Tamandua tetradactyla: one gene and its partner. The protein of the gene in region 2 interacts with the protein of the main gene of each other region in a pairwise test. Links are inferred from orthologs where the notes say so. Each region holds a gene or a part of one and is shown on either strand. Other genes may lie near its edges. The genes, in order: EIF5A2 and DHPS.

Region 1 (8,679 bases), on a different chromosome or scaffold from region 2:
CCGGCCGCGCGCCGTTCCCAGTCCCACCAGCTTCTCCATATTTCTTCACCTTTCAGCAGGGAAAGAGCGCCTTTCGCCTGCGCACCCGCGCCGGTTCCCCAAAGCTGCGGCGACCGCAGACGGCGGTAGCGGTGGCGGCCGCAGCAGTTCCAAGAGTCCGGGCGGGGCCGCCACACTTTCCACTGCCCGGCCTCCCCGCCCTTTCCCGCCCCCACCTCAGCTCCACTTCCGGGATAGGCCCCGGCGCGTCACAGGCACCGCCCTACCGCCTTACCATTGGCTACACGGTTACCAGGGCCCCGCCCAGTCACGTGAAGAGAGCCCTGGCAACCCCACGTGCTGCGGATTAGTACACTTCCGGTGTGGAGAGTGCTTTCTGGCGTCCTGCTGCTGAGCCGCTGCTCGCCGGAAAGGAAACTTGCTCAGTCAAACTCTCAAATTCGTTGCGCTGGAGTTCCAGTCAACGTTAACGGGAACAAATGAGGGCCAATACCAAGAACTCAGTCACCCCTGCCCTCAGAATGCCTGGGGTTGTCACGTGACACCCGCTCTCAGAACTCGCGATGCGCGCGAATTGAGCGGAGGCGCAGCCGGGCTACGGAGAGAACTTTGGCTTCAGCTTTTGATTGAGCTTGCAATCCTCTTAGGGATTTGAACCCACGCTTGTTTTTCTACGAACAGCCAAGATGCAATATTTTATTGCCTGGCTGTGCGGTCCTAGGCACCTCATGATGACATTCTGGCCGCAACTACAACAAGGGTGCCCCACCAGAGGTAGCAACATTTTCAGGAGTGGGAAACCCTGAGACAGCACTACATAAAAAGCAGTAGTGACATGACCTAACCCTTTCCCCACACCAGAGGCTGTGAGGGAGGTGATCTCACTTGTGCCATATTGTTCAAAGGAGGTGTTTTGCACAGTCAGCCCTTCTTTCCTTGTGGAATTGAGGTACTTTCGAGTTTTGGGGGTCTTTACATAACTTTATTGAAGCAGTAGGATTATCTTTCACACCCAACTGAAAACTACTGAAACTTGAATAATATTAAGGACCATTCTAGTTTGCTAGTTCTCAGAATGGCAATATACCAGAAACAGAACGGCTTTTACAGGGGGGATTTATTAAGCTGCAGTTCTAAGGCTGAGAAAATATCCCAACTAAAGCAAGGCTATAGAAATGTCCAATCGAAGGCGTTCAGGAAAAGATAACTTGGTTCAGGAAGGCCAATGATGTTCAGGGTTTCTCTTTCTGGAAAGGCACATGGTGAACATGGCAGTGGTATCTACTTGCTTTCTCTCCTGGCTTCTTGTTTCATGAGACTCCTCCAGGGGCATTTTCCTTCTTCATCATCTCCAAAGGTCTGTGGCTGCTCTTTTCAAAATGGTTCCCTCTTGAAGGGCTCTGGTAAGCAACCCCACCTTGAATGGGTACAGACACATTTCCATGGAAATCATCTAATCAAAAGTTACCACCCACGATTGAGTGGGTATCCATCTACATGGATAATTAAAAAGCTCCCACTCAGCAGTACAGAATGAGGATTAAAGGACATGGCTTTTCTGGGGTCCACAAATTCAAACCAGCACAAGGACAAAGGTTCTTAAAAGAGATGTGCATCTGTTTATAGTTCCTTTTCACCACTCACCAGGATCCACCTTAGAGAAGCAACCTAGGAAACCACTTCCCACCCTCACTTTATGTGTGGTCCTATGATTTTGTATTGCTGTCTCATGAATAATCCCTTTTCTCACATTTCTATGTGGCTTCACAGTTTACACAGATATTTTACGTGTTGATGAATTTAACTTTCACAATAAGCAAGTGAGTCGCCATATATTGAACTCAGTCTCTAGCTTATATGTGAAAGAGACAGATTGGAACCCTTGTTCATGAGTCCACTCTGCTTTTCGTTACATCACTCAACCTTTCTTTGTTTGATTATTATTGTTACTAGAATGATTGCTAATATTTAAAGTGTATGTATGTGGGTGGGGGTTGTGCTAAAAGTGTTACGTGCATTATGAATGTAATCTTCATTGCTACTCTTTTTAAACCTCAGGATTATTGAATTATATTTATTCAAAGTTCATCGTTTTTAGTTTTGTGAGCTTTGAGAGACATGCCATATGTAACCACCACTATAATCAAGACAGAGAAAATTTCTCTTGCTCCAAAAGGTACCTCTTGTGGTCAGTCCATGCCTGCGACCCCAGCCCCTGGCTATCGTTCACAACTACTATTCTATTTCCATTTTTCGTTGAGGAAAAAGGCAGAGGAAGGTTAAGTAACCTGATCAAGATCACACAGCTAGCAAGTCAGAGAGCCAAGATGGAAATCTAAGCAGTTTGGCTCCAAAATTCACTACTTCAACCAGCACACATACTACATTCACATAAGATAACAAAGCATTGGATTTTAAATCAAAGGTTCATGCATTCAACAAATATTGAAGTACCCATGGTTCTGGAGTTATTAACCAATCCAGTCAGTAGATGCTTGTAGTAAGAAGCAAACTAGCAATTTTGGGCGGGCCGCGGTGGCTCAGCGGGCAAGAGTGCTTGCCTGCCATGCCGGAGGACCCCGGTTCGATTCCCGGCCCCAGCCCATGTAAAAAACAAACAAACAAACAAAATATAATAAAATAAGAAAGATGTTTCCCTTTCTTCCTCCTTTCCTTCCTTCTATCCTTCCTTCCTTCTCTGTCTAAAAAAAAAAAAAAAGAAGCAAACTAGCAATTTTAATGGAGTAGAATAAATGCTATTAGAGAAATAACTACAGAGTGCTGAAAGAAGGGATTCCTTATTTAGTCTAACAATTGAAATATCTTGCAAAGCATGTATAATTTTAAATGTTCTTGTAGCCATATAAAAAAGTAAGAAGAAACAGATGAAATTAATTTCAGTAATGTAGTTTTTTAACCCATTTATCCAAAATGATATTATTTCACATATACTCAATATAAAAATTATTAATAAAATATTCTCATTCACTTTTTCATACTAAGCCTTCAAAATCTGGCATGTATTTCATACTTACAGTATATCTCAATTCAGCAGAGACACCTTTCAAGTGCTCAGCCGCTAGGTGTAGTTATATTGACATCACAGGTCTGGGAGGTTTGGAGACTGCTACCCTTGGGAATATCTCATTTGAAATCTGAAAAATGAGTAGAAATTCTCAATGGAGAGAGGGTTTGAAAGGGATTTAGGCAAAGGAAATGGGGGTACAAAGGCCTAAAGGTGACAGAATCATGGCATCATCTGGTACTGCAAATGGTTTAGCGGAACTGATGTGGATGGTAAAGAGAGATGAACAAATCTGTACTTTCTCCCAAGGGTAATTGAGAAACATTGTATGTATATATCTATATCTCCCTTTGTCTATATATACGGAATTGACAACAACATATTTTTTTACTTAGAAAGATCATTCTAGTTGCAGTGCAGAGAATTTATTAGGAGAAAAAATGTTGGAAGTGGAAACCAGTTAGGAAGGAATTACCTGGTAGTAAATCTGAGAACATGGAGAAGAAAGAAAGAATCAAGAGAGTTATGAGAGAAGCTCTTTAGTTTGCTTCTCAGAAAAATCATAGTCCTTTTTTACTTTTACATAGGCAGGATCCAGGAATCGAACCCGGGTCTCTGGCACAGCAGATGAGAATTCTGTCACCAAGCCACCAGTGCATTAGCAAATCGTATTTTTTTTACTTTTTTTTGCATGGGCAGGCACGAGGAAATGAACCCCGGTCTGTGGCATAGCAGGTGAGAACTCTGTCTGCTGAGCCACCATGGCCTGCCCTACTAATCACTTTTTTGTTTTTTTCCCTAGTAACCAGTTTTTGATACCCACATTTACAGGAAAATCTGCAGCCTACTGCTCCCTGTTATCAATTCAGATTAGTTAGGGTTCTTGGGTTGCAAACAAAAGAAACCAATCCTGATTAAACAAAAAGAGAATTTAATGAAGAGCTTGCCACAAATGACAAGGGAAAAACTGTGCAGAAAGGACCAAATGAAGCAACTCTGGGAATCTTGATTGCAAATTTGGACCTGTCACTGGCACCATTTTAAATTGTTTGGGATGACTGTTTCCTTACTTACATAGTCTCGGGAAGATTTAGGATTATGTATAGAAGTAATAATGTAAGCACACTGGTGGGTTTGATATTTTTTGATAAAAAATTGGTACAGATTTGATTTTTCAATTATTTATAATAGTCAGGATATTAGAGTAAAGATAAGCCTTGAGATTCCAAATTTAAAATGTACAGTTGGGTGATTGAATTAATCTTATGGTTTTAGATTGAAATCGCCATAGGTTTATAAATAGAAGATTTAAAAGAACTCAAGATGCACCATACTTATAAACTGAATGTATCACTTTTACAAGAACCACAGTACATACCTTGGAAGGTTTTATTTAGTTAGAAGGCATTTGGTGGGCTTCGGAGGAAAACTTAGAGGATACAGAGGTCGCTCAGTGGTTAGAATGCCCCCCTTTCATGCGGGAGACCCTGGTTCGATTCCTGGACCATGCAACACCACCCCCACCCCACCCCCCCAACCCCCGCCAAAAAACAACTGGGACTCCAAGGCCGGGGCTATTTCTGGGGCGTTGGCTCCCCGAGGCGGTGGCGGCGGAGCCCGGTAGGTGCCCTGCACCCAGACTGGTGGCTGTTGGTAGCCCTGTGCGCGGTCAGGCCCGTGGCCCGGCCAGCGTTCTTCACGTGCTCTGCCGGTAAGGGAAGGTTGGCGAATGGAGCTAAATCCAGCCTGCCCCTAAGCCTCCAAGCAGGGAAAGGACGCAAGCAGCCTCCTCAGGAGCGGAGCGGAGTACCAGCACTTAAGGGGTCTCCGGGCCCAGCCAAGGCGAGCAGGAACGAGGGCCCTCCCCTACCCGCAAAATCACTATAGCGCCAGGCAGGATAATCGAGAGGCAGGCGCCCAAAACTGGAGGAGGGAGAAGAGGGCATTTCACAGAAGTCCGCGGAAGTGGAGAGGGGCCCCCTCTGGCAGGGAGGAGCGGTGTCCTGGGACTGGCCCACCTTGCTCTGCCTGCGCCCCCCGCCCATGCTCTCACCACCACCCACTACAAAGCACACCCGCCATGCTAGAGTCTCCCGTGGACCATCTGTGGACCGAATGGGAAGTTTTCCATAGGTTTTGGTTCCCAGAGACCCTTCCCACTCTTCTGCCCCACTGCACCGCCCCAAAACACACACCCTCCTTGACAAGGCACGTCTCATTTGGCCGCACCCTCTCACTGCTGCGTCACACTCTTTCTGGGGAGAGACATTGCTGCCTGTGCTCCTGGTTTGGGCCCCCCTTTTCTGTTCCTACATTCTTCCCTCTGGTTCCTTATAAGTGTGTCTGGTGGGGCTCCCCTGGCCTTAAAAGAGGCCCAAGCCCCATCCTACGCTGACGTGCCCCATACTGGCAGCAGCGGGTGCAGACAATGGAGGAGGCTGCTCAGGCTCCAAGGACGCCCCCAACTAACCCGCGTCCTTGTCACCATGTGGGCCTCACAGCTCCCTGTGCAGGAAGCAGGAGGAGTTGGATTCCCCAGCTCTTTGCTCCAGGCCACCTTGTCCTCTCCCTGGAATCTGAGCATATTGCAATGAGGGAGATGCCATTTCATCTTTCATACAGGTGGGGTTGAGGAGGCCCAGGTTCCTCTGGTGGCCACTTGCCCAAATCTGTCTGCTTCCACTCTAGGCCCCTTTCCCCTTTCCTCAGGGGGGCCACTAATAACAAGGAGATAACCTTACCCACTCCTACCCTCCTGCTCCTCCCCAGACCCCAACGTTCTGGTTCCATCTTTCCTCTTTTCCAACAAACCACCTCTGGAAATTTGTGTCATTTTTTCAATGTTTCATTCGTAAAATATCCACCATCATTGCTGCTACTACCAGCGCCATATATTCACCCTTATTGACTACCCCCGTTCTGCCCATAGTCCCCTCACCCAAGATATTCTGCATGGGGAAGAGGTACCCCAGGTACAGCTGGGGTACAGCAGGCTGGGTTACTGACCACCCCAGTCCCAGGGCAGGTGATGCTGTGGCAGAGTGAGAAGTTATATGATTGATTAAAGCAAAACATACACATGAAACATTATTCTGGGGTTTAGTCCATGTATAAAAGTAATAGATATGATAGTAGCACAGAAGATGGAAGATAAATGGAAGTAAATTGTTATGAGCCCCTTTTCTGTTCCTTGGTTCTTTCCTCTGGTTCCCACAAGGGGAGGTTGCAAGGATTTTAGATTTTACATAAAGTGATATGATATTAACCCTAAATACACTGAGTTTGGGTAAGAATGCATATTATAATCCCTGGAACAACTAAAATGAATGTAAAGAGCAATAGATAAGAAGCCAATAAAAATTAAAATGAAACACTAAAAAGTATTAAATTAACCCTCACAAAAGCAGGAAAAGAGAAACAAAGAAACAAAAATTCTATGGAGCAAAAAGAAAACAAATAGGAAAATGATAGGCCTAAATTTAAACCCATTAATAATTATGTTAATGTAAGTGGTGTGAGCACTCCAGTCAAAAGGCAGCAATTATTAGACTAAACAAAATCATAAGACCCAACTATATGCCATTTACAAGAAACACTTTAAAAAAAGGGCACGGGAAGGTTGAAAATGAAGGGATGGGAAAATGTTATGGCATTCAAACAGTAGACATTAAAATACTGGAGTAGCTATACTAATATCAGATAAAGTAGACTTCAAGAGAAAAAGTATTACCAAACAAAAGAAGGACATTGCATAATGATAAAAGATCCAATCGTCAGGAAGTCTTATCTTAAATGTACATATCCCCAATAGCAGAGTTTCCAAATACAAGAAGCAAAACTGGTAGGACTAAATGAATAAATAGAGAAGTCTGCAGTCATAATTGGGTGTTTCAAACACCTCTTTTAGTAATTTATGGAGCAATAGACACAACATCATTAAGAACATAGTAGCATATCTTAATACCTTATTAAGATCATCAGCCACTTTGACCTAGCTGACATTTATAGATCACTGAACCCCAAAACTGGAGAATACACTTTTTCCCCCAGAATACACATTCTTTTAAACTATACGTGGATCATCTTCTAAGATATGCTGGGCCAATTTCCAGAGAATGTTTTCTTTTCTTTTTTTTTTTGTTTGTTTTGAAATGAAATTTTATTGGGATATAGTCACACACCATACAATCCATCTAAAGTATCATCACGTAACTGTGCAATCATTACCACACACAGAGAATGTTTTCTGACCTCAGTGGAATTAAATTAGAAATCAACAAGATATATTTAAAAACTTCAAATATTTAGAAATAAACGGCACTTTTGTAAATAACTCATAGATCAAAGTAGGAAAAACAAGAGACATTAGAAAATGTATCACACTGAATAATAAAAAAACAGTATATCAAAATTTATAGGTTAGAACTAAAATAGTAATTAGCAGGAAAATTATTTCATTACACATTTATTTCAAAAAGGAGAAATAGTTTAAATTAGTGGCCAGGGTTCTACCTTAAGAAACAATTGAAAGAGAAGCAAAGTAAATCTACGAAGTAAATCTAAAGAGCCAGATAGTTAATATTTCAGGCTTTATGGGACGTAGAGTCTCTCTCACAACTGTTCAACTCTGCCATCGTAGCCTGAAAGTAGCCATAGAAAATATGTAAATAAATGAGCATGGCTGTATCCTAATAAAATTTTATTTACAAGTACAGGAGGTGGGCTGGATTTGGCCTATTGGTTGTAATTTGCTGGAGTAAGTAGAAAAAAGCAAATAATAAAAAACTGAAATCAAAGGATAGAAAACAAACAATAGTAAAAATAGACAATGTCAAAAGCTAGTTGAGGAAAGCATTAATTAAAACACTTAACCCTGGGTGGGCCACGGTGGCTCAGCAGGCAAGACTGCTCTCCTGCCATGCCAGAGGACCTGGGTTCGATTCCCCGTGCCTGCCCATTCAAAAAAAACAAAAACAAACAAAAATGTTTAACCCCTAGCAAGACTAGGATATTTTTTATATCTGTGAATATGCAAATGTTCAATATAAAAAATGAGAGAAGAGAAATCACCATATATTCTATGCATAATAAAAGGATAATACAGAATTATTATGTACAAATTAATGGCAATAATCACTCAGCATCATATCTTTAAGATTCATCTACATAATGGCATCTATCAGAACTTCATTCTTTTTTTCAAGGGTGAGTAATATTCCATTGCATATATACAGCACAGTTTATCCATTATCAGCTAATGGACACTTGGATTGCTTCCATCTTTTGGCAGTTGTGCGTAATGCTGCTGTGAACATTGGCATACACATATCTCTTCAAGTCCTACTTTCAAGTGGGATTGCCAAGTTATATAGTGGATCTCCGTTTAACTTTCTAAGGAACTGCCAACTGTTTTCCACAGTGATTGTACCATTGTTCATTCCTACCAACAATGTATGAAGGATCTTATTTATTTGTTTTCTTCACTAGGAAAAAAAAATCCATTTTAAAGAAAATTACCACTCTATTGGGTGTGAGGTGATATCTCCCTGTGGATTTGATTTGCATTTACCTAATGCTAATTATGTTGAGCATCTTTTCATGTACTTATTTTTTATCTGCATATCTTTGAAGAAATGTCTATTTAAATCCTTTGT
Region 2 (7,770 bases):
TGCGAGCACGTCCCAGATTTAGAAAGCGATGCCCTGGCTCACGTGAGGGCCCGAAGGGCTGCTGGGTAAGCAGTGGGGGGCATTTCCTCGACCCACCCAGGACCAGGTGTCAACAGGCCTCCTGCCACCTGGTCAACAAGAGCTGCTACCAACCCTGTCTTCAGAACAACCTGCAAGACCCTGCTTCTCCCTGCTTCCTGATACCCGCCTGGTCTGGGACAAAGGCAGATGCCTCCTCCCCCCACAAGCACAGAGCAGCCAGAGGGCACCTGTGAACACCTGCATCAGGTTACATCCCTGTTGTGCTTAGAGCCCTCCATGGCTCCCACCTTCCTCAGAGTAAAAGCCAAAATCCTATGCACGGTCCCAAGGCTCCACTCCACCTGCCCCATCACCCCCCCACGCTCTGGCCGTTTCCTATACCAGGAACAGCCCTCCTCCCACCCACTCGGGCACTCACAGGTCACACTTCCTAAAAGAGCCCCCCTCATGCACCCCTTTTTCTTGCCACCCTGTCACAGCACCCATGTGCTTCACGTGTCGCCTCCCTCCCCCACTAGTCTCCAGAGGCCAGGAGGCCTTCCCATCCAGTCCACACCTGTCTCCCCTCATGTGGGAGAAGGCCCACTTCATGGGCACAGCTCCCACACTGGCTCTCACCATGAGGTTGGCATTGGCAATGTGGTGCTTGACCAGGCCCCCGCCCAGGATGATCATCCCCGAGTGCTTGGCGAAGATGGCCTGGGTGTTGATGAGCCTCAGGTCTGGGGGTGTGAGGGGCTGTGTTCAGGCTTGGGGCCCAGCCGGCCCGCCTCCCCCTGACCCCTACCTGTAGCCCCAGCACACACCCTCCACGATGTCCAGGACCAGGCCCGGGTTCTTGTAAGAATGGAAGAAGATCATGTCGCCCAGCGAGCCATCCGTGAGCGCCGGGCTCAACACAGGGATGTGGTTCTGGGGGAGGGAGGGCAGGACAGGGCTTGGGGCCCGGAGCCTGGTGCGGGCAGCCTGGTGCCTCTCCCTGTTGCATCACTTCCTCCCTGCCTGACTGGGGGCAGAGGGCTTAACTTCTCTGGGCCTCAGGTTCCTCAAGAGCACTACAAGGGATAATAGTACCTCCCCTCCTACCCCCAAAGATGATGCCCATTTAACAAACCACCCAAAACACTTAGGACAGCGCCTAGCAACTAAAAGGCAGTAGCTTGTGTTAACTGACAGATGCCTAGACCTCCTGGCCTCTGTGGGGTGTGGACCCTCAGGCACCCATAGGGGCCTTGCTAAGCACTGTCCGGACTTAAGCTCCCAACTGCTCCCAGGCAGCCCAGGAGAACAGATCCGCTCAACAGCTGGGTGATGTCTAACAGAATTACTTAACTGCTCTGTGCCTAAGGCTCCTCACCTTGAAATGGGGGCAATGAGAATGAGGACACCATCCCCCTGTGGAGAGGAAGGAAGCTAACACGTGCCCCGAATCAGCCCCTCACCTTCTGGGCCCAGTAATACACCGACTCTGAGTTGTTGATCTCCTTGCCAAGCCGGGCAATCATCTTGGAAGGAGTCCACTTCACACCCTAGGAGGAGACAAGGATGAGCCCGCACTTCCTGTGGCTCCCACTGAGCCACCCTCCCCCCAGGGGGTGGGCCCTGGCCCCACCTCTGTGTTCTGCTCCAGCACCATCTGGTCCAGGATGGGCATCAGCCAGTCCTCAAATTTGCAATAATTGTCATTAGGCACCAGCAGGTTCCCAATCCTGGAGGCAGGAGGAGGTGGACATCAGGCCTCAGGGCCCTGGGGCCAGCCCCCTTGCCCAGCACCACCCAGGCCACCCAGCACCCCTCCCCCACACCTGTTGATCCCATTCTCCCGGAGCTCCTTCCCCCTGAGACTGAACTCCCCCAGGTACGTGGGTGCCAGGCACTTGATGAGATCCTCCTCCACACCCCCAGCTGTGGTCACCAGGACGTCCACCTGTGGCCAGAAGGTGGCAACGTTGGCCAGGGAAGGGGATCCCTGCCCTCAGCCTGCAGGTCTCCAAACCCCCACCTTCACCCCAAGACCCTTAGGGGCAGCGCTGCTGCAAAATCAACTGCATCCTGTCCCTCTGCTTAGGACCGACCCATCTCTCCATCATCTCACTAAAACGTTCGATGATCCTTTTGACCGCTGAGACTCAGAGGGCGTCTAGGCCCCAACCCTGCCAGGTTCCCACCATGTTATGCTGCACGAGGTAGCGGATGGACTCGCGGACGCCCGAGCTAATGAGGTTGGACGTGTAGCCCAGGAAAATGGTGCAGCCGGTGAGCGGGCGGCGGCTCCGGGTCAGGTCCGCATGATGGTCCTCGTCCTGCGACAGCGGCTCCAGCTTCTTTTCGATCTGGGTAGAGGGGCCCGATGGGCTTGAGCTCAACCCAAAGGCCCCGGGTAGGTCCCAGAGGCAGACCCCGCCCCCAAGGCCCTGCCCACTCAGGAATCGGGTACCACTTGTACCTGGTGCCAGGCCCCGCCTCCTTCCCCGCCCAGACCTCAGGGGAGGGCTCAGGAGTAGCCGCCTTTCTGGAGTCAGCATCTCCTTTGCAAGTCTAGCCCTCATAGAAACGCTCGCCCAGGACAGGCCCCGCCTCTCTCCGGCGATTGGACCGCCCCATCGGATGGCACGCCCCACCCAGCCCGCAGGAAGTCCCGCCCCCTAACCCAGGTACAGCACGGGTCCCCCGGCAGACCACGCTCCTCCCCGGGCCCGGAAGTCCCGCCTCAGGCCTCACCATGGCGTTGACTTGCTCCACCGCGCGTCCGAAGTTGGTGGCCTGGAAGCCGGTGGTGCCGAAGGCCTCCAGCAACGCGCGGTAGTCCACGCCGCGGTTGAAGTCGTAGCCCCGGACCTGGGCGCTCTCGGGCGGCAGCGCCGTGCTGTGCTTCAGCACGGCGGCCAGCGCCGCCGCGGGCGCCCCTCCTTCCAGGGGGCCCTCCATACTATGCGGCGGCGCTCCCAGGTCACGGCCGCCCCCCGGCGGGCCTCCGGCGGCGTTTAACGTGCCGGGTCCCACAACCGCTTGCTTCTATTGCCGGAGCGCAGGAAATGGGGCTCGGGAAGACCTCGGGGAGACGGACCGGAAGTAGCTCAGTCACATGATTCTCTGTGGCGCCCAGGGAGTGGCCATGTTTGCGCGGCTGTACGGAAGCGAGGAGTCTATTCCCTGGTTTGCACGTTCTCAGCTTCATATGATTAGAGTCCTACCTTTACTGCTGCCTGCTGGAAACCAGCGCGTTGTGCAATGCTTCCGCCATCCAATTCTGTCTTGGGGAGAGTACCACTTCTTAGGCGTGGCCCTTGGGCAGGATTTGGGTCCCCAGGCAGAGTCAGATACAGTTTCCTGCCTCTCATCCTCTCTAGTCACATGGCACTGATCTCTGCTCATGCCACCACGTGCTGCACAACCCTTTCCACCGGCAGCTGCAGCTGTCACCTCTGGAAAGCCTTTCCTGACTTTCCAGACTGGCCCAAAGATCTCTTCTGACAGCTCTTCCCCCTCTCTTCCCCTCACCCCCGCCCCAGGGAGACTGTAAGACTCCTGAAGGCGGGTCTGTGGCTCCTGCATCCCTCTATGCGCATCTGTGCCGGTGTGAAAGGAAGTATGCCCCCTAAGAAAAGCCATGTTTTAATCAAAATATCATTTCGTAAAGGTAGAATAATCTCTGTTCAATACTGTATGTTTGAAACTGTAATCAGATCATTTCCCTGGATGATGGGATTTAGTCAGGAGTGGTTGTTAAGCTGAATCTTGATTGGTTTATTGGAGTCATATAAGAGAGGAAATATTTTGGAGAATGAGAGATTCAGAGAGAGCAACACTACGAAGCAGAGAGTCCACCAGCCAGCGACCTTTGGAGATGGAGAAGGGAAACGCCTCCCGGGGAGCTTCATGAAACCGGAAGCCAGAAGAGAAAGCTAGCAGATGACTCCATGTTCGCCATGTGCCCTTCCACATGAGAGAGGAACCCTGACCGTGTTCACCATGTGCCTTTGCAGATGAGAAAGAAACCTTCAACTTCATCGGTCTTCTTGAACCAAGGTATCTTTCCCTGGATGCCTTTGATTGGACATCTCTATGGACTTGTTGTAATTGGGACATTGTCTTGGCCTTAGAACTGTAGATTAGCAACTCATTAAACTCCCCTTTTTAAAAGCCATTCTGCTTCTGGTATATTGCATTCCTGCAGCTAGCAAACTAGAACAGCATCTCTCTAATTGTGCGCAGGCCACCCCTTTATTGCTGGCTTAAGATATGTGGAGGCATACTACGCCTTGGGCTCTGTGCTAGGTGCTGTGGGTTTAGCAGTGAACAAGACTGACCTCTGCCCCCGAGGAGCCCACAGTCTGAAAATTAACAGTGTAAATGCTATTCAGGACTTAAACAGGGTGACGTAGGAGAGTAATTGGGGTGATTGGCGACTTCAGTTGGATGGACAGGTAGTTGGGAGGTTTTGAGCCAAAACCAGAAGGCCAAGAAAGACCCACCGCTATGTGAAGAAATCAGGGGAGGGCATTCACCCCCACCCCCAGCAGTGCAAAGGCCCTGAGGCTGGCAATGAGCCCACTTTATAGGACAGACAGAACATCCTTCTTAACACCCTACTTGGGTCTCAAATTCAATACATCCTTCCCCTCTTCACCTAAATCTGATCCTCCCACAATCTTCTGCATCTCAACCAATGTCCTCAACCTCCACTTCTCCACTTGGCCAGAAACTATGGAGTTGAACCTGAGGTCTTCCATTTTCTCAGACCCCACACCCTTCTATCAGCACACCCACTAAGTTCTACCTATCAAATAGGTCCCAGGTACACGCACTTTTCTTCATTCCCGTGGCTTCCACACTGGGCTCCCTCCCCTCCAATCTGTCTCCCAACAGCAGCCGGAGAGCCCTTCTTTAAACATAAATCACATGCAGCATTCCTCATTAAAACTCTCTAAGGGTGACTTCCCCTTGGGATAAAATCCAGCCACTTCTCCCTGGCCTCTAGGGGCACCGCTGACCTGCCCCAACACCCGTTAGCTTCTGCTTGCTCATTTCTCTGCAGCTACATCAGCCTCCATGTGCCCCTGGAACCCTCCAGCCTCTCTCCTGACCTGCAGCTCCTTTGGGTCTCAGCTCATTTATCACCTTCTTGGCCTGCTTTGGCCACTCCCCTTTGCCCTCCCCTTGCTTTTATACAAAAATGTCTGCATTATAACGTGTATTTTATTCACTGGTTGTCTGTCCCTCCCCTACTAGAATAGCAGTTCAGTGAGGACAGGATTTTGTCTCATTTCACCATTTCACCTCCTGCTTTTTGAGCAGTATTTGGAAAATACAAGGACCTCAGCAAGTGTGCCGAATGAATGAATGAATGAAATCAAGGGCATCAGGCTGGTAAGTGAAGAATGAGAGACAGAGAGGGTGGTGCGAAAATGAATTCAGAGACAGCAGGAGAGTCCAGCCTAGACAGGACCCCGCGTGCACTGGTGAATCTCATTCTAAGGGGCAGCAAAACGTTGGGAGAGTCTCAGCAAGATCGAGAGCCTGTGATGTATTTTTTAAGAGATTCCCACTGGCTGCCTTGAGGAGAGCCGAGGTGTGACCTGGAGAGGGCCGGCAGGGCTGAGTCAGCTGCCCGGGGCCAGGCAAGCGAAGGGGGACGCGACCACAGGGTGGGCGGAAGTGACCAATGCAGAATCCAACTTGAAGGCTCCCCTGATGGCACTTGAGAAAGGATTTGGTGTGGGGATAACAGGAAGGAAGGGCAGAAAAGGATTTGGAGATTTGGCCCTGAGCAGTCGAGTGGAGGGTACTGCACTTCAACTCAGGGGAGGGGGGACATAAGATTTGGGCAGACAGATAACAGAGTCTAGCTTTGATTGAATTAAAGGATGTACCAAGGAAGGAGGTGGGACCTCAGGTCTGTAATTCAGGGAACGGCTGGGAAAGGGACTGAGGAAGTCCGCTCTCTGGGTGTATGGAGTCATTTGTACCCAGGCGGTGGGTGTAGACAGAAAGGAAAGGCAGGGCTGCCCTGCTGCAATCCCGCACACAGGGGATGGCAGAGCCTGGCCAAGGAGACGTGTTGGGGAAAGGATAGCAAGGGGTCAAGCAGACCATGGAGTGGCCAACCCACCCCACCCCTGCATTCCGCCTGCCAAGCCATTCAGCCTGCAGGGCTCCCATCCCCCAGGGATCTAGATGACACGTGACACCAGGGCCACCGCAGGGGCCTCCTGGGGCAGGGACCCCCTTGGCCCAAGCAGCAGCTGAGGCTGGTGACATTTCACTGCATGGTGAGGGAGCCTCCTGGCTTCAAAGCCTTGGCGGGGGGTGACGAGGAGGGGCTGGGAGAGGGGAGGCCAGGTGGGGGTGAGAGGCAGCCAGAACCCAGCTGGCGGTGGATGGGGCGGCCAGGATCGGCTGAGTCCTCAGCAGAGGTACAGTGGCCTTGGGGGGAGGTCAGGGAGCCGCTCCCCTGCAGTCCCCAGGGGCCTGAGGGCAGTACAGGGTCTGGGGCTCTGGGGCCAGGCCCCCGCCCACCCCCAGCTCGCCTTTCCCCAGATGTCCAGCAAGGTGGCCCTTGGCAGTGACATCGGGCAGGCCCGCCGGGCCGTGGAGCAGCTACGCATGGAGGTGGGCCTGGAGCGCGTGAAGGTGAGGGCCTGGCCCAGCGGGGTGGCTTGGGGCGCCCCGGGGGTGCAGGGCTCAGCTGAGCACCGGGGCGGGGCTGACGGGATGTGGGGGGGCGACCCCAGGTGTCCAAGGCGGCCGCCGACCTGCTGCAGTTCTGCACGGAGCAGGCCAAGAGCGACCCCTTCCTCGTGGGCATCCCGGCTGCCACCAACCCCTTTAAGGAGAAGAAGCCCTGTGCCATCCTGTGACCCAATAAACATGAAGTGACCGCTGCCCGGGGTGTGGCTGGGCCTGGGGAGGTGGGCGTGCAGGTGGCAGCATCCTTGTGGCAGAGGGTCGCAGGCCGCAGGGGGGCACTGGTCCCACTCCCTCCCTCGCCTCCCCACCCCCACAGGGCAGCGCCAGCGGGCTCCCTGCGCCAACACACATCACCCACGCAGAGTTGCAGCCCTAAAAACAGGTGCCTATGTCCTCAGGCCCTCCAGTCCCTGACCACACACTCAGGCCCACAGACAAGCCACACACGCACACACACACACAGCAGTCATTGTAATGGAAACACGCCAGGACCACACACACACATACACACACACACACACACACACACAGCAGTCATTGTAATGGAAACACGCCAGGACCACACACACACACACACACACACACACATACTCATTGTAATGGAAACACGCCAGGACTGCCTCCTCCAGCCCCAAGCTCCCTGCCCGCCAGTTGCCTGCTCACATGCACACACCCGCCCCTGCAGCCCCCCCAGCCCGCACACACCCTGGCAGAGCCCCCCAGGCCCCCCAGCCACCACTGCCAGCCCCAGTAACATCACATCACGTTTATTTCTTCTCCACACACAACCTCTCCACTGTCACCACACCAGCAGGGTCCCAGGGCAAGGGCAGTTTGCTGCCGGGGCCGGGACCCCAACCTGCCTCCCCCAGCACAGGCCAGCCCAGGGCCCCCTGCCTGACCACGGCCCGGAGGCCCTGGCGCCCTGGCACCTCAGGCCCGGGGGCTGGGGGGCAGATAGCACCAGCATGGGGGAACCATCCCCCAAGAACAGAAGGCCCGGCCCAGCCTGCCGGCCAGCAGTCTACCTCCAGGGCC

What was found.
Region 1: the proteins of DHPS (region 2) and EIF5A2 interact in binary tests that used the Homo sapiens proteins (3 or more experiments, as listed by UniProt). The two-hybrid records come from large-scale screens. The link is inferred for Tamandua tetradactyla from reciprocal best matches to the Homo sapiens genes DHPS and EIF5A2.

Annotation. Positions count from the first base shown.
Region 1 is NC_135331.1:68,342,468-68,351,146, forward strand, and holds the start of EIF5A2 (eukaryotic translation initiation factor 5A-2), read right to left. Parts: upstream 3,137-8,679; 5' UTR 3,036-3,136; intron 500-3,035; exon of another isoform or gene 275-499; intron 221-274; exon of another isoform or gene 50-220; intron 1-49. UniProt on the Homo sapiens protein: Translation factor that promotes translation elongation and termination, particularly upon ribosome stalling at specific amino acid sequence contexts.
Region 2 is NC_135337.1:89,906,504-89,914,273, reverse strand, and holds the start of DHPS (deoxyhypusine synthase), read right to left. Parts: upstream 3,345-7,770; 5' UTR 2,971-3,344; coding exon 2,764-2,970; intron 2,602-2,763; exon of another isoform or gene 2,489-2,601; intron 2,376-2,488; coding exon 2,211-2,375; intron 1,970-2,210; coding exon 1,848-1,969; intron 1,752-1,847; coding exon 1,655-1,751; intron 1,572-1,654; coding exon 1,485-1,571; intron 955-1,484; coding exon 849-954; coding exon of another isoform or gene 830-848; intron 765-829; coding exon 661-764; intron 1-660. Other genes in the region: GNG14 (guanine nucleotide-binding protein G(I)/G(S)/G(O) subunit gamma-14), read left to right, coding at 6,423-6,458, 6,583-6,675, 6,777-6,902. UniProt on the Homo sapiens protein: Catalyzes the NAD-dependent oxidative cleavage of spermidine and the subsequent transfer of the butylamine moiety of spermidine to the epsilon-amino group of a critical lysine residue of the eIF-5A precursor protein to form the intermediate deoxyhypusine residue.